Linked DNA regions of Canis lupus familiaris. The protein of the gene in region 1 interacts with the protein of each later gene in a pairwise test. Links are inferred from orthologs where the notes say so. Each region holds a gene or a part of one and is shown in the gene's direction. Other genes may lie near its edges. The genes, in order: KLHL12, TTBK2, PRR13, TBC1D10C and PDGFRB.

Region 1 (3,826 bases):
CCTGCTGAGCTCAGGGCTCAGTCCCAAGACGGGGATCCATGAGATCATGACCCGAGCCAAAGTCAAACATTTAACCGACTGAGCCACCCAGGCACCTCTCTGTGTTTTTGTTTTTTGTTTTTTTGTTTTGTTTTGTTTTTAAGATTTATTATTTGAGAGACAGTGTGAGCATGTGCTAGTGGGAATTGGGTGGGGAGGGCCAGAGGGAGAGGATCTCCAGCAGACTGCCTGCTGAGCACGAAGCCTGACATGGGGCCTGATCCCAGGATCCTCCCAAGATCATGACCTGAGCCAAAATCAAGAAGGACGCCCAGCCGAGGCACGTAGGCTCCCCCCCCCATCTTTTTAGGTGTCTTAACCGTGATGTCTTCCTTACCTATAAAACTTAATTGGCTTACCCAAGAAAAACACTTTGGTTTTGCTCCCAAACATTTGAAAGACTTGTGGGGAATTTGCAAAGAGAGGAGTCCTTAGAAATCTCTCATCCTCTAATAGTCTGTGATTCATTCATTCTGAGCAGATATGATCTATGTGTCTGGAGGCTTTGACGGAAGCAGGCGTCATACCAGTATGGAGCGGTATGACCCAAACATTGACCAATGGAGCATGTTGGGAGATATGCAGACAGCCCGGGAGGGTGCCGGGCTAGTTGTGGCCAGCGGAGTGATCTACTGCCTAGGTATTCCATCTGGGAGGGAGAGATGGGCAGGAACTACATGGGTGGCAACCTTTGGGTGGGGATCTCTTTTTATCAAGATGAAGTTCATAGACTTGTTTCAACTAAAATCCTAGTCTGTCATCCTATTTTTTCTGTTAGCTGGGATTCTTTTTCGTGGAAGCAGGAAACCGGGTACTGTCAGATTTCTCTTTGGATTATTGGAACTCTTAAGAACTAAAACTGAAAGAATTAGTTGAAACACTGAGAGAAAGACAGATTGGGAATGGACGTGAGGATTTCCCAATATTTCTGAATGGTCTGTACTTTGTTTTTCAGGAGGATATGATGGCTTGAATATCTTAAATTCTGTTGAGAAATATGATCCCCACACAGGACACTGGACTAATGTTACACCAATGGCCACCAAGCGCTCTGGTAAGCCCAGTCATACCTAAGGGAGAGGACAATAGACCGTGCTGACAAATCTTTGTATATGCAGTGGTGGCCCAAAGATACGGTATCAGCAAATCAGTTGTAGTTCTTTCTTCACTTACGCTTAGAGTAAATGAGGTTCCACATTCTCTCCTTTGCTTGTCTTTACATATAGTGAGAATAAAGACAACTAGATTATTCTAGGCCTGTCTGGCCTTTGTCCACACCCTCAGCTGCTGTAGAATTCAGCTAGCTTTCAGTGATCGTGTTTTGTTTTTAGAATTCTGATCCTGAGCTTAGTAGTGTTTACTTGCTATACCTTTTTTTTTCCCCCAGGTGCAGGTGTAGCCCTGCTAAATGACCATATTTATGTGGTGGGGGGATTTGATGGGACAGCCCACCTTTCTTCTGTTGAAGCATACAACATTCGCACCGATTCCTGGACAACTGTCACTAGTATGACCACTCCGCGATGTTATGTCGGGGCCACAGTGCTTCGAGGGAGACTTTATGCTATTGCAGGGTAAGGATTTGGAAGCCAGACCAGAGTCCTCAGGGATCGAGGACCACATGATCCAATCTGAATTTTTGGATCAAGACTGGCTTTGGGTTGGGGGAGACATCTCCAGTGGCCGCCTTTAATGTAGGACTGTATGGAAAGGATTAGAAAGTTCATTTTCTTCTTTTGCTTCTTCCCCATTCAGATATGATGGGAATTCCCTGCTGAGTAGCATTGAGTGCTATGACCCTATCATCGACAGCTGGGAAGTAGTGACATCCATGGGAACCCAGCGCTGTGATGCTGGGGTTTGTGTTCTTCGGGAGAAGTGACCATTGTTGGAGCGCCATCCAGAGCTAGTGACCAGTCCAAGGGACAGTTTACGGGAGAGTCAAGGATCCTTTCCAGAATATCTATTTCTCACTGTGTGCACAGGGTAATTACAAGCACCAGTGCAGTGATGATTGTACTTATTTAACACACACTCCACCTTACGCTGGTAGTTGTCCCTGAGGAGGGTGGGTAACAGACACTCAAGGGAAGACAGTGCATACTGAATGGATCTGAGAGGCCAGGTCACCTCTTCTGGTCTAGACAGCACTCTCATGTGCTCAGGAGAATCTCTGTATCTGTTGTGCCTCGTGTATTGCAGACACTTAAGAATCAGTGTGACCTACAGAATGTGGGCAGTATCCAGCGTAGATGATCGGAAGGATACCAACTTGAGGAAGCTGGGTAAAATCCAAGTCTTGTTTTCCAGGAAGATCTTTCCTAGTCTACAGTAGCTAGGGGCAGCAGTTCCATTCTGGAGGATAACAAAGGGGAGAGCCCCCTGTCCCACTTTGGGGGCTTGGAGAGAGTCCTGCCACTCCCTTCAGGGACAGGGTTGGTATATCAGAACCAGGTTTAGAGTAGGGACATCAGAAGAATTTGATGGAAGGTGAGTGAACTGAGAACACCACTAAAGTATAACCTGGAAGACTTAAGAGAGGGTGGTCATACTGAAGGATCTTTTTATTTCCCCATGGACTTTCTGAACCAGAATGGTGCGCGTCTTGGCACCAGAGACTGACAGAGTAAGAGTGAACGAGTGTCGGGATGGGCAGAGATGGAATGAACGTGGGAGTTCAGTATGCCTGGGAACAAACTAGAAGTACCTGTGATTTTACAATCGTCTTATTTCCTGCCAGGGCTCATCTACCCGTGGCATGGTTTGCCTTGAGTAGGTGAGACACTATCTCTCTGTGTTGAATCAAATACTACTACACTATTATACTTCATTACTATTTATTTGGGGTGGGGTGGGGGTGGCAGCAGCCAAAAAGTTCAGCTACCTGATTACTGCCCCATTCTTTTAAGGGCACCCTTCTGCTGAGAAGTGGTTTTTCTGCTGTGTTTGGTACAGTTCATCCTTTTCCTACTATAAGGCCCTCGCCTGTCCTTAGGGTGGATTTTATTTATCCCAGGACAGAATAATCAAGAACAACCAAAATCCTTTTGTTAGTTCCAGTACTTGCTATCGCCATTTCTGAGCCACCATTCAAGGCTCCCCCTGTGTTTTGGAGTGAAAGTCTTAGTTTTGTGGGTATTGTAAGTGTGGGGATGTGATAACCTAAAGAAGGATGCACTTTCCCTTTATTCTGAAATTCCATTTTTTTCTCTTTCCGAGTTGTATTGACCTCAAGAGTTCATTTCCTTTGTATTTTTTTAATAAAATATTAAAAATCAATGGTCTCAAATGCCTATAGGAGAGTTTGTGGCTAACCAGCATGGTCTTGCAGATACTGGGGGTGGGGTGGGGAGGGGGGAGCAGGCACAGTGATCAGCTGTATGTCTTCTCTCTCCTCCCTGTTACCCTGTGTGTTTGCCAACTAGCTCCACTATGTTTCTCTGACATGGGTAAGAGGTAGCTACCCCTTTACCCTTGCCAAGATTCTCATCAGTAAAGTATTTATATGAAATTGCATGTTTATTGACTCCTCTCACACCTGGAGTTTACTTGAAAACCAAACAGAATAAAGGGGAATCCATCTTGAGCTAATTTAGTACCCACTTGACTTTTAGGGTGTTAAGTCACTCCGGTCCTTTTTTTATTTGCTTAGATTTATGGCACGTGATATAAATAGCTATGGAGAAGGCCTGCAAAACTGCAAAAAATCCTGGTATTTCCAGAGCAAAGGAAAGAGGGAGCCAAAAAGGAAGTTATTTTCTCTAAAGAAGCCTGCCAACCTTTCTTC
Region 2 (3,511 bases), on another chromosome or scaffold:
GCCTGCTTCTCCCTCTTCCTGTGTCTCTGCCTCTCGCTCTCTATGTCTCTCAAGAATAAATAAATAAAATCTTAAAAAAAAAAGAATTTTTTGCATTTTTGTGGTACTGATTTGATTAAATTCTTATCTCCATCTGTGTTTTTAATTATCGTGATTCTTAACATGAATTGTCTTATAATGTTACAAGATAACCTTTGACTTTGGGAGCTTAGCAGTGGGAGTTGGTAACTTCATGAGTTACCAGGTACAAGTTAAATGAACATTTTGAACTTTTGTTTATAAGGGATCTCTTTTATTGGAATGAGAAGATGCAGTGTAGGGTTAGAGAGTGCATTATAAAGAAGGTATTATAGAAAGGAAGGGGAGTATGTGAATGAGGGAAACCAGTAATTTATACAAAAGGGGCAGGCAGTTCAATTCATTTTAATGTAGGACTTCTAATAGTGAGTACTGTAGGAAAAATAGACATGAATAAGTTTATCATTCTTCCTAGAAAGAAGGGAAGGTGAAACTTTGGAGAACTATTCTCCAAAGGTTATAGTTTATAACTATAGTTAATGTTTGTAAGTCCCATTATTCCCAAATTTTGATAACAGAAGACAGAAATGGAACTTTAAAAAGAATTTGGGGGCAGCCCTGGTGGCACAGCAGTTTAGCGCCGCCTGCAGCCCAGGGCGTGATCTGGAGACCCTGGATTGAGTCCCGCATCGGGCTCTCTGCGTGGAGCTGCTTCTCCCTCTGCCTGTGTCTCTGCCTCTCTCTCTCTCTCTGCATCTCTATGAATAAATAAATAAAATCTTTTAAAAAAAAGAATTTGGGATATATTTATGAATTATAGAAGGCTGCAGTAATATTCAGAACTGAGTGACTAATGATAGTCACATACCCTTCAATGTACATCCCTGGTGGCTGCTATTGGCAATGAAATGTTAGGTTAGAAGGAACATGTATTTGACTAACATAGTAGTTACTATGTCCAAAGAATTCAGATTAATCTAATCTAGCTTCTATTTTTTTATAGTATTTCATATATGTGTATTTTTCCTCACATAGTAATTATTCAGCCACACAGCTACATGATAGAAGCTTGTGTCTGTACATTGATATGATCAAAAGGATGGATTGGAGTTGGGGCAGTGCTTAAACATTTTGAGTTGTGCTAAGATTAGGGATAAATACATAAATGCAACAGGGATGAAAGCTTAGTTTGGTAAAGAATTAGTTTAATAAAAGAACCATGCTGAGGGAAGGGCTGAGAAGTAAGACAGCACTGAGAAAACAGAAGTAATCTAAGGAAATGAACTCAGGCCAGAACCTAGAATGGATAGGAAACAGTTGAAGCAATGAAAGCACCCAACTGCAAACTTGAAAGGGAGAAAACATACTGCTTAAACTGTTTCCCTGAAGTTGAGATCAGTTCCTAGAAGCCAATGCAGCCAAATGGTTACACCATTGCCTGCCCCTCAGCCAGCAGAGAGATTTGTATAAAGTGTCAGTTGCCTTTTCATCCACCCAAACGATATTCCTTGTGTCATCCCCCATGCCCCCATCGCCACCCAGTACCACTGTGTGCACTGCTGCTACATAGTGGGCTGGGCATGCTTGAGAAGGTGTAATAGCTAGCGGTGCCTTTGGAGTTTACTTGGAGTGTACATTTACATATGTCTGTGAAAACAAAACACATGAAGTATTTGCCTAGCTTCTCATTTCCTTTCCTATACTAGCTTCTTCATTTCCTTTTATAGGGCTTCTGGTGAGGCAAAATCCCCTTAGCTAAGTTCTGCCTCAGTCCCTCAGAGAGAGCAGAGGGCAGTGTGATTGAATTTGTAAAGAGAAGGGGAAAGAGATCACATAAGTCAGCCTGAGTAGGCTTCTCTGCCTACTGCCGAGAAGCAGGAGAGCCATCTTCCTCCTGTGGGTTCCATCTTCCAAAACAGGATTATGACAGGTGGAGAAGAACATTATCAGCCTGTGAAAGCTTCCTTATGCTTTATTAATATATTATTCTGTCACATGTGTGTGAATATTAGTTCTGTGTAGAGCTTATAGGTTGTGTATAAATATTTTCCTAGAGCAATTGAGTAACTGCTCTCTGTTTTTAAAGCCTGGAGAAAATGCAGAAAGATTCCAGTGGAGGAAAGGAATCTATTCTCCCTGCTGTGCTTCATAAGCCTTGTGTTCCTGCTGTGTCTCGTACTGACCATATCTGGCACTATGATGAAGAATATCTTCCAGATGCTTCTAAGCCTGCCTCTGCCAACACCCCTGAACAGGCAGATGGCGGTGCCAGCAATGGATTTATAGCAGTTAACTTGAGCTCCTGCAAGCAGGAGGTTGATTCCAAAGAATGGGTGATTGTGGACAAGGAGCAGGACCTTCGGGATTTCAGGACAAATGAGGCTTTAGGCCATAAAACAACTGGAAGCCCTTCTGATGAAGAGCCTGAAGTACTTCAAGTCCTGGAGGAATCACCTCAAGATGAGAAGCTTCTACTGGGTCCTTGGGCAGAAAGTGATCATTTAAAGAAAGAAACCTCAGGTGTGGTCTTAGTACTTTCTGGGGAGTGCCCTGCCACTGCTGCTTCAGAACAGTACACAGATAGGCTAGAACTACAGGCTGGAGCTGCCAGCCAGTTTATTACAGTGACGCCCACAAGTCCGATGGAAGCGCAAGCGGAAGGACCCCTCACAGCGGTAAGAGATTTGTTCCTATTCCTTTTCTCTATTATCCACTCAAGGTGCTGTTTAAAAAGAACTAATAGTTGATCAACTAAGATAGTTCAGCAGATGCCTAAGTTTGGCAGAAGGGGGGTGGGTAGGGAGTGATGTTGGGACTAAATTCTATACTCAGTCATCCATTTTGAAAATTATCAAAGCAAGTGAGTCCTATCAGGATAGCAACGCAACACATAAAGTGTCATTATAACCTAATTTTAGAACAACATTTATAATTAGACCACAAGAGCTATCTATCTATGCATTTAGATATGACTTTAAAAATTTGTCATCCTAGAGATTTTTAATCTCTACATTATAAATCTGGTGAGGAAGGTAAATGTGGTTTCTACTTTATAGCATACACTTGCCTGGCTTGATTCACTTTGTTCTGTTGCTTTTTTTTTTTGTAATCTCCACAGAGAAATTTGTCATATTTTACATTACTCTTAAACAGTTTTCCAGCTTTAATGTCTGTCCATTGTTAAAATACAGAGTTCTGGCCTCTCTTCCAGAGCTTCTGCTTCAGTAGGCCTGGGCTAGAGTGAACCCAGGGGTGGTCTGCATTTTAACAAGTAGCTGAAAATAGTTGTGACTAAGGTCTTCTGCAAAGGAACATTTTGAAGAAACTCCTCTTTACTCTTCAGTTTGGGGATTCAGCTGGAGACACCTTCACCCTTTATTATCAGTGAGCAGTGATGCCCGTATGATGGTGAGCAACAGGAGCCCTGGAAAAGCCGAATATGTTGGCAGTAAGGAAACTGTGTACACAGGTCTTTGGCTCCAGCCTGAGGACA
Region 3 (4,080 bases), on another chromosome or scaffold:
GTCTAAGGATTATTTCAAAATAAAAAAAAACAAAATAAAAAATATTTTAAAAATCTATCAAAGGGCTTAATTCAAGATGATAGACAGTATACAATTTATCTTCTTAATATTTTTTATATATCCCACAAATTTGGGATGTAGTATTTTCAGTATGGCTTAGTTCAAAGTATTTAATTTCCATCATGGTTTATTCTTTGACCCAGAGTTATTTGGAAGCCTTTTTGTTTTCTTAAATTTCCAGATGTATATTTGTATTTTACATTGTGACCAGAGAATGTGGTATGTAGTGTACAATTCTTTGAAATTTGATTTATATTAGTTGAGACCCAATTTTTTTCTTTAAGATTTTATTTATTCATGAGAGACACAGAGAGAGAGAGAGCGGCAGAGACACAGGCAGAGGGAGAAGCAGGCTCCATGCAGGGAGCCCGAAGTGGGACTCGAATCTAGGTCTCCAGGGTCAGGCCTCGCTGAGCCACCTGGGCTGCCCCTCAATTTTTTTTAATAAGTAGCCTAAGTATGCTTAGGAAGAATGAGTATTTTTAAGTTTGGGGTGCATGGTTTTTTATGTTAATTGTGATTTAAAAAAAAACATGAAGCCATTGCAGCAATCCAGTAGAGAGACGATGATAGGCTAGGAGCAGGGACCATGGAGAGAAGCGGAAAGAATTCAGATTTATTTGGGAGACAAAACGAGCTCTTCGCGGCGGCGGCGGCGGGACAAGGGACAAGCCATCAAAGATGACCTCCTTGGCTTCTGCCTTATGCAATTCGACGGATGGCGGAGCTATGCAAGTGAGCTAGGGAATTCTAAGGGGGATTAGGAAATCTCTGTATTTCCCCCAAGAATGTTTCTTTACTTCCCACAGGGGAGAGGAGGAAGGTGGCGAAACCGAGGCGTGGGGCTGAGACCCGGCAGCTCTCCGCCGTCTCTTAGGCGCTCTGCAAGGACCTTGGCACCGCCTCGGTCACCTCTCCAGGCGTCGCACCCACCGCCCGAGGAGCTCAAAGGGCCCCGGTGCAGAGTCCTCCGGGCCTCCCCGGGCCTCCGCCCACAAGCCGGCCCCGCCCCTCCGAGGCCCGCCTTGGCCCCGCCCCCGGCGCTTCCGGCCCGCCCACTCCTCTGCGCCCTCCGGGGCCGCGCTCCGCCCCCGGGGCCGCCGCCGGCCTCCAGCCCCGCCTGCCAGAGTGATTGACGGCTGTGTTCTCCAATCACGACGCGGACGGGCCAAGCGCTCGCCAACCAGGCGGGGGCGGGGGCGGGGGCGGGGGCGGGGGCGGGCGCTGAAGCCCAGGTCGGGGAGCGGGGGGCGGGGGCCAGGAAGTGAGAGCCGAGGATGAGTCCCGCCCGGGAGGTGGTGTAAAGGTGACTGGGCGTCTGGGTTCCCCAGTTTCCTCCTTTCCTCGTCCCCAGGTCAGGGATCCTTGGCAGCCGGGAGCCAGGCTCTCCACTTGCCCTGTGGGCTGTGGAAGGGGGGTGTGTCTCCGTAAGACAGCGGTGGAGGCTCTTCCCTGGACGCCTTCTCCGGCTCCTTCCCGTGGCCTGGGGTGAGGGTCCTGCCTCCCTCCGCCTGCCCGGGCTGAGGGCGGTGAAGTTGTTTAAGATCCTTCCGTAGCGGTGGGTGAGGAAAGTCTTCCGGGCTCAGCCCCGGCAGGGGAGGGGGGGAGCGGACCCGGAGGTCGCGGAGGGGGGAAGGAGGGGAGGGAGGAGCGGACCCCGAGGTCGCGGAGGGGGTAGGGGAAGGGGGAGGAGGGGAGGGGAAGGGGGGAGGAGGGGAGGGAGGAGCGGACCCCGAGGTCGCGGAGGGGGTAGGGGAAGGGGGAGGAGGGGAGCGGACCCCTAGGTCGCGGAGGAGGGGAGGATGGGAGGGGAAGGGGCGAAGAGGGGAGGGGAGGGGAGGGGAGAGCGGGCCCAGAGGTCGCGGAGGGGGGGAGGAGAGGAGGGGAGGGGAGGGGGGAGCGGGGTCGGAGGTCGCGGGGGGGGGGGAGGGGGGGAGGGAGGAGCGGACCCCGAGGTCGCGGAGGGGGTAGGGGAAGGGGGGGAGGGGAGCGGACCCCGAGGTCGCGGAGGAGGGGAGGATGGGAGGGGAAGGGGCGAAGAGGGGAGGGGAGGGGAGGGGAGAGCGGGCCCGGAGGTCGCGGACGTGGGCGCTGTCCCGCGGAGCCCGAGGTGGTGGAAGGTGGAGGCGCGGGGAGGGCGCCCCGGGCCTGGGGGCAGCAGGAAGCAGGTGCTGAGCGCAGGGACGGTGGGGAAGGAAGCCTGCGGAGGTCGAGGCGGTTCCGCGAGTCCGGGAGGCGCTGCTCCGGGCTGGGTCTCTAACCCCCCTTCCCCCCCCCCCCGCCCCCCCCCCCCCCCCAGCACCATCAGCTTTTCGCCTTGGTTTCTTCCTCCTCAGGCTGCAGGGAGGCCCCGAACATGTGGAATCCCAATGCCGGTAGGTGCTCGGGGGCTCGGCCGCAACCGCTTTTCAGAGGAGCCGGGCACGGGGAGTTTCTGTCGCTTTCTCCGCCCCCCTCGCGCACAGAAGCGGTCCTCGCTCCTCCTCGGCTGACCCTGCGCTCGTCGGTCCCGAGTCACCGTCTCCCTCCCTCCCCACCCCTGCCGCCGCCCTCGCCTTCCCTCTGCCCACCGGCTTTGCCTCCCCGCCGCCCCACCTGCTCCCCCGCCTTTGCATTTCCCTGTAAGTAGTGAGTGAGAAACGGAACCCCCTTCTTTTTGCCCCTGTTTATCGTCAGAGGCTCTGAGCTCTTGGAATCCTAACTTATTCTTTGCTTCTTCCACCAGGACAGCCAGGGCCTCATCCATATCCCCCTAACATCGCGTACCCTGGAGGTGCCAATCCTGCCCATCCGCCACCTGTGAATCCCGCCTACCCCCCGGGCCCCTATCCAACTCCCCCAGGGGCTCCCCAGGGGAATCCAGCTTTTCCCCCTGGTGGGCCCCCTTATCCTGCGCCACAACCAGGGTACCCCGGATGCCAACCCACGGGTCCCTACCCACCTCCCTACCCACCACCTGTTCCTGGCACGCCTCTTGTGAATCCCTTGCCACCTGGCATGGGGGGACCGGGAATGGTGATGGACAAGAAGATGCGGAAGAAAATGAAGAAAGCTCATAAAAAGACGCACAAACACCACAAGCATGGCAAGGTCAGTGCCCCCTGGAGCTTGGCTAGGAAGGGGTGCCCACCACAGAGGCATGGGGGGATTTGCAGTCTGAGGACATGAAGCAGCCATTGTGTGGCTCTGGTCGACGGTTCTTCTTTGTAAAGTATTTCCACTGGTAAGAATCTGGTAATCTTGAAATACTAGGCAAATCGGGCCTTCTATCGAGGAGAGGCTAAGCTGAGCCATAGAATACAGAACAGAATCCAAAGCCCTTCCTGTCTCTGTCTCCCAGAACTTTTGCTCCACCCCCATCCCCAGACGCTTGGTTTAGCAAGTCAGACACCCCCACCTTCAGTGTTCTGGAGGTGCTGTGTTAATTATCACAGGGGCCTTTTTGTCCTACCACCCAGCAGGACTCTCAGTGACTCAGCCTCAAACAAAACCTAAATTTCATGCTCAGCCCCAGAGATGCTAGCCCTCAGCTAGTATCTTCATTCTAGAAGAGCGTTAACTAACAAGTAGCTCTCAGGACAACCCTGGAAGGACCGAACCAAGTAGCTCTCAGGACAACCCTGGAAGGACCGAACCCACCTGGATCTTCCTGGATCTTGAGGAGGCCTTAATTTACATTTTAGTGCCCAGTGTTTATTTGCCTTAGGGCTTTGGGCACTACCCCTTTCCGGATCTTTGGTAGGAATTGCAGGAGAAGGAAAGATATGAGGTTGAATGGGGGTAGAAATTGCCCTGCAGAGATGAAAAAATGTGTTTGGTGACAGTTGTTGGGGGTGTGCAAGTAAAGAACCTTGACTAGTACTCTCCCCTCCTTCCTCACTTTCTCCCATTTGGGGCTTAGGAAAAAGTAAAGGTAGACAGGCACACAGAGGCTGTTTCTTTTTTTTTTTTTTTTTTTTAATTTATTTATGATAGTCACAGAGAGAGAGAGAGAGGCAGAGACACAGGCAGAGGGAGAAG
Region 4 (4,173 bases), on another chromosome or scaffold:
TCCCAATAGCGCAGGCCAACCCGTGCGCCCCCCGCCCAGGAGGGGGGCTGCTCCCCGTGCCAGAGCGTCCCCGGAACCCCCCTCCCCCGGCGCGCCGCGACTCGGGGGGCGGCTGTGGCCACGGGACCTTGCGGCCCGTCCCCGCCCAGTCTAAGCTGGCCCGGGGAGGGGCAGGCCCGCCCGCGCACCACTTCCGGGCCAGGGCGCGGCGGGCACCGACCTCCCCGGCCCCGGCCAACCTTCCAGCAGGCGCCCGATGATGGAGTCCAGGTTGAGCTTCTCACTGTCGGACATGGCGGCGCCGCCGCTCCGCCCCAGCAGCTCCGGGCCCGCTCCTGCCGCCCTCCCTCCCGCCCGCTGCCTCCTTCCGGCCTGGCGCTCCTTCCGCCCGCCCCGGCCCGCCCCGGCCTGCCGCCCCGCCTCCCCGGCCCGCCGCCCCGCCCTGCGCGCTGCCCCCGCGCTCTAGCGCTCCCGCCGGACACCGCGCGCAGCGGCCGCGGCGGCCCGGGGGGCGGGGCATAGGGGACGGGGCGGGGCTCGGGCTGAGCTCGGCCGTCGGGACGGAGCCCGGCCGGTGGGTGGAGCTCGGAGGGCGGGGTCGAGTCTGGTCCCGCCCCCGAGGAGTTACCCGAGTCCAGTTCCGAGAATATGGGGCCGGAAGTGCTGTGGGAGTTGTTTGTCTCTGTCAGACGCTAACCCACCCCCTGGGCGGGAGCGTGGTATGAGCACATTAATAACCGATGCTCCAGACACTGCGGATCAAGTCCTCGAAGTGCAGAAAAGGAAACGGAGACTCAAGAGATAGCAGGGGGGTGGGTTGGTCCAAAACCCTGGCCTCACATTCACGGGGGGCCTCCACCTCCTGAGTCTCTGCGGCCCTCAAGGCAGCTGGCCAGACCCAGGCACCTGCCGCGGCGCTCTGAACCCATCTTGGTCCACGCTGTGCTGCACGCTGAACTAATTTTTGTAAGTTCCGTTATTGCCTGCTGAGTGCATAATAACGCTGCGTTAGGTATATATTCAAAGCATTACTTGTAAAGAGCAAATATTAAATAAACGAGAATTCTCACTGGAATCTTGAATTGTTTTAACCTCAAAACTGGAGGGGCCTGGCCTCTGTAACTCGGGTGGGTCCTGGACTGGTCACACCCTGCTCTGGAGCCCAAGCCTGCAGCCACCCAGCCCATGGGGAGGGTGGGAGGAGCCCACGGTCCTGGGGGCACTGGGGCAGGCCGGAAGAGCCTCAGAGAGGAAGAGGTGACCCCCCCACACACTTGGGAGGGGAGTGTGGGAGGGGCCCCCCAGCCGGTGGCTGAAGCTGCTGAGAAGGAGGAAGTGAGAGGAGGAGGTGAGGTGCAGCAGGGAGGTAAGCTGGCCTGGGGGGGCAGGGGCTGGGCCTGGGGACCAGCCTCTACACAGAGGTCTGGCTTTTCTGCCATTTCAAGGCTCACTCTCACCCTCACCCTCCCACCCCGATAAAAGAGGGGACAGAGGGGGCTTGGTGAGATGCCCTGAAGTCTGTGCCCTCTGAACCCTGCAGCCAGGTCCCCGGGCTGGGGACCGGCTGGATGGGAGCTCAGGCCCCAGGCTGGTCAGAAGCTGCCTCTCACACTGGCTTTCCCCACATCTTGCAGCCTGTGGTAGCTTGGGTCTGGGGCACCATGGCCCAGGCCCTGGGGGAGGACCTGGTACAACCTTTCGAGCTGCAGGATGACTCAAGCTCTTTGGGGTCCGACTCAGAGCTGAGTGGGCCTGGCCCATATCGCCAGGCTGATCGCTATGGCTTCATTGGGGGCAGCTCAGCAGAGCCAGGGTAAGTGGGGAAGGGATGAGGGGCAGTGGGGTGCTGGGAGTGAGGATGGGGGTTGAGGGCTGAATTCTAGAGACAGGCTCAACTCCTAGGGTCCTAGAGGGCCTGGGGACTCAGCCAGTGTCCCTACTCCTCATGTTCCAGGAGGAATCCTAAAGCTGGTAGGGCTGCGGCAAGAGTGTCCCTCATGTGTCTCTTTGACTCCCAATCTCCCAGCCTTTGCACCTATCCTTGGGGCCAGATATCCTTCTGCTTTTAATCCCTGCCATGATAATCCCAGAACCAAACCAAAGAACCCACACCTCTATCCCTACCATCTTCCTTTCCAGATATACAGACAGGAAAACAATTCCAGATAGGAGCTTGCCCAAGGTCACACGGCAGATCAGATAGAATCAGGTTCAAACTCAGGACTCCTAGCTTCTAGCCCTTGGCTCTGGCCACCTGCCTCTCTTATGAGTTGTCTGTGTTCCTGTCCTGGAGGACAGCCACCTGGCCCCTGCCCTCCCCCAACACACACCTACACACCCCCTTCAGCCTCTCCTGCTTCTGCCCACATCAGAGCCACATTTTCTCCTGTCCCTATGACAACCACTGGCAACTCCTGGGTGATAGGTTACCCCCCACCCGGGGCTCCCTAGAGATCCCCACAACCAGGAGCTGAGTTTACCCGGGTAGCATGGAAGGTGGCAGAGGTGGGCTCTGGGTGAGAGCCAGCCAACGCCTCGATGCCTGTGCCTTGTGCCCACAGGCCAGGTCACCCTCCTGCAGACCTTATCCGCCAGCGGGAGATGAAGTGGGTGGAGATGACCTCACACTGGGAGAAAACCATGTCTCGGCGGTACAAGAAGGTGAGGGGACAATGGGACTCTTCAGTCATCCCCCTTTGCCTCTGCCTATGCCCTGGCAAAATTTACCCATCCTGTGTCCCTACCCCCCCAAGTGACCCTTGTCCCATGACACATTGGAGCTTGGGATCCTCCAATAGGAGCAGGGCAGGCTGGTCTGGCTGATCTAATGGGGCCCTGGGGTGGGCCTCCCTGCAGGTCAAGATGCAGTGCCGGAAAGGCATCCCCTCAGCTCTCCGGGCCCGCTGCTGGCCCCTGTTGTGTGGAGCCCATGTATGTCAGAAGAACAGCCCTGGCACCTATCAGGTAATGCAGTTGACAGGGGTTCTGCTTCCCCTTTCTAGAGCCTCTGGCTGCTCTTAGCCCTCACAGAGAGCTTCCTGTCCACACACAGGAACTGGCCGAGGCCCCTGGAGACCCACAGTGGATGGAGACCATCAGCAGGGACCTACACCGCCAGTTCCCCCTACACGAAATGTTTGTGTCACCTCAGGGTCACGGGTAGGTGGCCAGTGACACCCAGGGACCTCCAGCCCCACAACCTCCAGGGCTTTCAGCCCAGACTCCTACCTCAGCCTCAGCTTATATCCTTACATCTCAGGGGATCCAGCGAGGCCCAGGGGGGCTGTGACCTGGGAAGAGGCCATCTTCGGGCAGGGAAGGGGTATCTGAACCAGCCCCTAATGGGGTCTTCTGGCACAGGCAGCAGGGGCTCCTGCAGGTCTTGAAAGCCTATACGCTGCATCGGCCGGAACAGGGCTACTGTCAGGCCCAGGGTCCCGTGGCTGCCGTGCTACTCATGCATCTGCCCCCAGAGGTGAGTGCCCTAGACCCTAACCAGGGACTTGAGACCCTGACACCTAAACCCAGTGATCCATGATCCTGACCTTAGGTACTTGAGGTCCTTGACCCACATCCTAGTGACCTACAGACCTAGTAATCCTGTGCTCCGGACCCATGACTCCTATCCCCAGGAACTCGGGACTCAGGGATCTGGGATCCTTGACTCCCAGATCCTGTCCTAGTCACCTAGGGCCTCATGACCATCAACTTCAGTGACTTTCAAGCCCAACGACCTTGACTCCAGGTCAAGGTCCCTTTGGCCCCTGCTCCCTGCCCCAGTGACCTAAGAATCTGGATGTCATCACCTCGACCTCAGGACTCCTGATTCTGAGCCCTGTGACCACGATCTCAATGACTCTAAGAGCTCAGGACTTGAACTTTAGGACCCTCCCAACCCTTGACCAGTGAGCCCCAACTCTGTGACCCTGAAATTCAACACCATGAACCCAATGACTTCCAAACTCCTAAACCAATTGATAGGCAGAGAGACTTTTGGTAAGAGCCTGAGTTTAGGCTCCAGAGTGACCTCAGAGGGCACCTATGCCCACTCCCGCGCTCTGTTCCCCTATCCTATGGTTCCTTCTGTGATCCCCTGGGTGTGGGCACTCATGGCGTGTGCCCCCACCCAGGAGGCCTTCTGGTGCCTGGTACAGATCTGCGAGGTCTACCTCC
Region 5 (4,245 bases), on another chromosome or scaffold:
GAGGCTGGAAAGGGGACATTAGCAGGTACTCGAAAATATGTGTTGGGTGACTGAATGAGATGCAGAGAAAAGGATAACCCTGGAAGAAGGCGGGGCAGGAGGCCCAGTCTGCTCTGCAATGGGAGTCTTGCCCCGGGGTCAGGTCACCTGTGTCTGTTCTGTCATGGAACTCGGGAGACCTGATTCCACTCCAGTTCTGCCATTGCTTGTGGGAGCTTGGGAAGCTCATTCCTCTTCTCTGGGCTTCTGTTTCATTGTCTATAAAATGGGGAAATAACCCTTTCCTGGTACTTGAGGGACAGCGAGATGACAGGAAGGAATGTGTTTGGAAATCCCAAGTACACCGGGTGACATCGCCAGGTCTCTTTCCCTCTCTGTGCCAATTCACACCTGAGCCTTGGGTTTCTTCTTGTGACAGCGACTGATAATCCCAAAGCCTCAGTTAGTTGCCCCTCTAAATGCACTCTCAGCCCCCCTGCTATTCCTCAGGGTACCTCCCTGTGCCTCCTGTGTCTCCACTAGCCAGGGCAGCCCTGGAGTCAGGGACTGTGTGTTGCTCACTACCACCTCCAGCACCCCGCATGGTGTCTAGCACATGCTTGTTCAATAAACGGATGTTGCCTGAATCAATCATATAGGTGCTCAGAGCTGCCCTTATGGATGTGGAAACTGAGGCACAGACAAGGGAGTCGGCCCCAGGTGCTGCGCGGCAGGGCATCAGAGAGGTGGGGCCGGACCACTTTTTAATAAAAGTGACTCAGCGGTTGGCGTGGGCTGCGGAATTTCTAAACATCCCCTCACATCCTGAGAGAGCAGGCGACGGAGAGAGCAAGCAGAGGGAAAAAAGGAAGAAAAACAAGAAACTTGGGGGAAAAGAAAGAGGGGGAAGAAACTGAAATTGAAAACAGACACACGCGTCCACCTTCCCCGCCCCCTCGCCCCCCTGCTCCCGGCTGAGCCAATCAGAGGCGGCCCTGCAGCCTTTCCCCCAAAGCAGGGGGAGGGCAGGGAAGCCCACAGTGGTGTGAGCTCCCGGGCTGCCAGCGCCCGCAGTCCCTGCCCATCCCGTCTGGGATCCAGGATCCCTCTGCGAACAAGTTGGAGGCAGAGGGCAGGAGGACGGCACGGAGAGGACCCGGCCCCCCTGACCAGCAGCTGGGGGCAGCAGCCTGTGCCCTGCAGCGCAGAGGGCCAGACCCAGGGCGGCCCCTCCTGGCAGCCCTGCTCCTCCAGAAGGATGCTTTGGCAGTGAGGCCACTCCTCACTCACCCCTGCAGCCCCCCACTCTCTCCATCCTCCTGAGGCTCCCAGGGCCCGGAGATTAGGCTGTCTTCCCTGCTCTGCGACCCAGCCGTGGCCCCGTTGGGGAGTCCAGCAAAGTCTTTCTGTTAATGAGAGGTCAGCGAGGAGGACTTCCTGGAGGGGGTGACAGCCCAGAGCTCAGGACTGTGCCCACCCCCGAAGGCATCAGCAGCAAGGTAAGTGCTGGGAGAAGGGGGATCCCCAGCCCCTTGTCCTGTCCCCTTGCTCCAGTCTGTGCCTTCTTGGGTAGGTCAAAAAATGGAAAATATTTTTAACAAAACCAGATGGGAAGAAGCTGGGAGGCTGTGGGCGACGTCAGGGCTGGAGGAGCCAGTTTTCTCTTCTCCTGCTCAGGCTGCTTCTGGGGTGGGTGGCCCAGCCGGTCTCCATAGCCCTGCTGTCCCCTGCTTTTGCCAAATGAACCCCAGAGGTTTCTGGGTGCAGACTGAGGGCCTCCAAAACATAGAACCGCCTGAGAGGGCCGGGGAAAGCTGGCAGGAGCTCGAGAGGGGAATTGGGAGGCAGCAAGGAGGGTGCACGGAATGGAGATCTAGCAGGGGATAGGGGACTTCAGAGCCATGGCCCCTGTCTCTGGGCCCAAGCCTTGTCCTTAAGAATCTGTCTGGCTCTAGGCCAGTCGGCCGCCAGGCAACCTCTGGGGATTTAAATGGATTTGCAAATTTTCCAGATTCCTAAGATGTCCTTCCAAACCCCCAGTGGCTGGGAAAGTGCGAAGGCAAGGGGGCTGTGGCAGGCCTAGCCTAGCAGTCACAGTCTCACAGTCGGGGCTGTGGGGCTGGGGGCCTGGGATCCGCCGTCAGATGTAGGGGCCCCTCTGGAAAGAAGGGGGAGTCGGTTGCTGGGCCCTTCCCTCTGGACCCAGGCAGCTGCTCAAGCCGCCTCGCTGTCTCCCTCCTTCCGACGCTGCTTTCACTCCATCCTAAAACATGAATCTGATCACGATTCCTTCTTTGAGTCTCCCCTATAGAAAGCCCCAACTCCTAATAGTAGCTGCCACTGATTGACACTTACTGCATGCCAGGACTGTGCGGAGAGCTTTATGAGCATGATCTCACGTAACTCACCAGCGGCTCCAGAGGCAGGGATGGATTTTATGTTGGTTTTACGCGTGAGGTTCACAGCAGCTACAAAACTGTATCACGGTGCTAGTAACTGGCAGAGCTTGGGGAGATAATAAGCTCCCTGCCGCATTTCTCCAAACTTGGTCCTTGTGTTCCCGCCAGTCAGATCCCAGGGTCCCCAGGAGGAGTATGCACAATCTTGCCTGTGAGAATGCCCCTCCTCATTTTCCGTGAAGGAAAATGGAGGGAATGCCCTACCTCCCCCTCCTCCAGGCAGCCTTCCGGGGTCCTTCCAGTCTTCCAAGTGCTTGCCATGCCCTTTGCCTTGTTGCTTGGCCTTCTCTTCCTGTTTGTGCTCTGTGTGCACATCAGAGATCATTTGGGCCCCAAGTGACCCCATCTTGTTTTCCGTCCCCAACATATGCAGACAGGCAGGCAGTGAAACAGAAAATGTGCTGGCAAAAGGTAGGAGGGGCTCACTGAAGACTTGCTGTTCCCAAATGTGAGACCAGAACCAAGCCCCACCCTTCCCTCAGGTGCCCTTCCAGAACAGCACGCTGTTCCTCCAGACTGCATTTTTCTATGTCAAACAGGGAGGAGTGTCCCTGCCTGTCTGCCATCCCAGAATGCAGGAGGCCTCTAGGGAGATATCTGAGGTCATGCGGTCCTCCCCTGCCTCCTTGCAGCAGGCCCCGGATCCGTAGCCCCGGATCCGTAGCTCCGGATCCATAGTGCTGCTGTGTGGGTCACCGCCATGGAGTGCTTTCACTGTGCCAGGCACAGAGCCGAGACCCCACACACCTTGTCACCCCCACAGCAGCTCTTGGGAATCTGTATTGTCGTTACCCCTGTGTTGCAGACCAGGAAGCCAAGGCTCAGAGAGGCTATGTGATTTTCCCAGTGTCACATAGTTAGTAGAGTTGGTACTTAGGCCAAAGTCTACTTGAAACTGAAGACTTACCCCCTGGCTACCCAGGGAGCCCCAGGGCAGAAGGCAGGGAGTCTCCATTCTCCCACTGAGGCCGTTCCTGGCTCCAGCACCTTCGGCGGCAGGCTCCGCCTGCACTGGGTCTACCCGAAGTCTGGCCAGGTCCTAAGTGAGGAAGGAGGACCATCTGGCCAGCACCTTCCCTTTAGTGGTGATGGGACAGCCCTCCCTCCTCTGTGGGAAGAGGAGCTGAGATTTGTAATTGCCCCCAGATGTGGGACAGCGGAAAGCCCCGCAGATTCAGAGTCAGGAGACCTGGCGTTTGCCCTGGCTCAACTCAAGTCCGCTATGTTGCCAACTCGGGTCCCCGGATCCTTTTTTTCTGGGCTGTATCCACATCTGGAAGGTGTTGGGCACTGGGGTAAAGAACATCAGGTCTGGGCATCAGAGGACTGTGTATTATTCCCTAGTTGGCTCCTGCCTGGCTGTGTGACCCTGGGCCAGTGCTCTGTCTCTCTTGGCATCGGCCCCCTCCTCTGTAGGCAGCAGGGAGGCATGTAGTCTCCGTGAGGATAATATTGATAAAGGTGCGTAGTAGATCTTGCACTTCTCAGGGCTGGACCCAAAGGCCATTGGCTGAGAGAGGCCCACTGGCCTCCCTCCGTCCTGAACAGGACTCGGCAGTGAAGTTAGTCTATGCCTCACCAAGAGCTATGCCCCTGGAAGGGACCAGTCTAAAGGCCTACCTCCACCTTCCAGGCATGGTCTGGCTCTGAGACCTTCTGGACTGGAGGAGGGCACTTGGGGTTTTTGCTCAGGATGGGCTGCTGAGTGTGGTGGGGAGGGAGGAAGGAATGAGAGGGTCCCTAGACTGCCCTGAAGTGCCTGCCATGCCCATCTTACTTCCCTGCACATGTTTCAGAACCCTGTGGG

What was found.
Region 2: the proteins of KLHL12 (region 1) and TTBK2 interact in binary tests that used the Homo sapiens proteins (3 or more experiments, as listed by UniProt). The two-hybrid records come from large-scale screens. The link is inferred for Canis lupus familiaris from reciprocal best matches to the Homo sapiens genes KLHL12 and TTBK2.
Region 3: the proteins of KLHL12 (region 1) and PRR13 interact in binary tests that used the Homo sapiens proteins (3 or more experiments, as listed by UniProt). The two-hybrid records come from large-scale screens. The link is inferred for Canis lupus familiaris from reciprocal best matches to the Homo sapiens genes KLHL12 and PRR13.
Region 4: the proteins of KLHL12 (region 1) and TBC1D10C interact in binary tests that used the Homo sapiens proteins (3 or more experiments, as listed by UniProt). The two-hybrid records come from large-scale screens. The link is inferred for Canis lupus familiaris from reciprocal best matches to the Homo sapiens genes KLHL12 and TBC1D10C.
Region 5: the proteins of KLHL12 (region 1) and PDGFRB interact in binary tests that used the Homo sapiens proteins (3 or more experiments, as listed by UniProt). The two-hybrid records come from large-scale screens. The link is inferred for Canis lupus familiaris from reciprocal best matches to the Homo sapiens genes KLHL12 and PDGFRB.

Annotation. Positions count from the first base shown.
Region 1 is NC_049228.1:410,983-414,808, forward strand, and holds the end of KLHL12 (kelch-like protein 12), read left to right. Parts: intron 1-520; coding exon 521-679; intron 680-994; coding exon 995-1,093; intron 1,094-1,426; coding exon 1,427-1,613; intron 1,614-1,794; coding exon 1,795-1,921; 3' UTR 1,922-3,323; downstream 3,324-3,826. UniProt on the Homo sapiens protein: Substrate-specific adapter of a BCR (BTB-CUL3-RBX1) E3 ubiquitin ligase complex that acts as a negative regulator of Wnt signaling pathway and ER-Golgi transport.
Region 2 is NC_049251.1:9,984,398-9,987,908, reverse strand, and holds part of TTBK2 (tau-tubulin kinase 2), read left to right. Parts: intron 1-2,104; coding exon 2,105-2,693; intron 2,694-3,511.
Region 3 is NC_049248.1:44,879,521-44,883,600, forward strand, and holds the start of PRR13 (proline-rich protein 13), read left to right. Parts: upstream 1-1,271; 5' UTR 1,272-1,366; exon of another isoform or gene 1,367-1,622; intron 1,623-2,368; exon of another isoform or gene 2,369-2,396; 5' UTR 2,397-2,416; coding exon 2,417-2,435; intron 2,436-2,785; coding exon 2,786-3,150; intron 3,151-4,080. UniProt on the Homo sapiens protein: Negatively regulates TSP1 expression at the level of transcription. This down-regulation was shown to reduce taxane-induced apoptosis.
Region 4 is NC_049239.1:50,562,822-50,566,994, reverse strand, and holds the start of TBC1D10C (carabin), read left to right. Parts: upstream 1-1,373; 5' UTR 1,374-1,568; coding exon 1,569-1,813; intron 1,814-2,561; coding exon 2,562-2,661; intron 2,662-2,856; coding exon 2,857-2,964; intron 2,965-3,052; coding exon 3,053-3,159; intron 3,160-3,360; coding exon 3,361-3,475; intron 3,476-4,130; coding exon 4,131-4,173. Other genes in the region: PPP1CA (serine/threonine-protein phosphatase PP1-alpha catalytic subunit), read right to left, coding at 240-294.
Region 5 is NC_049225.1:59,839,836-59,844,080, forward strand, and holds the start of PDGFRB (platelet-derived growth factor receptor beta precursor), read left to right. Parts: upstream 1-1,434; 5' UTR 1,435-1,478; intron 1,479-4,245. UniProt on the Homo sapiens protein: Tyrosine-protein kinase that acts as a cell-surface receptor for homodimeric PDGFB and PDGFD and for heterodimers formed by PDGFA and PDGFB, and plays an essential role in the regulation of embryonic development, cell proliferation, survival, differentiation, chemotaxis and migration.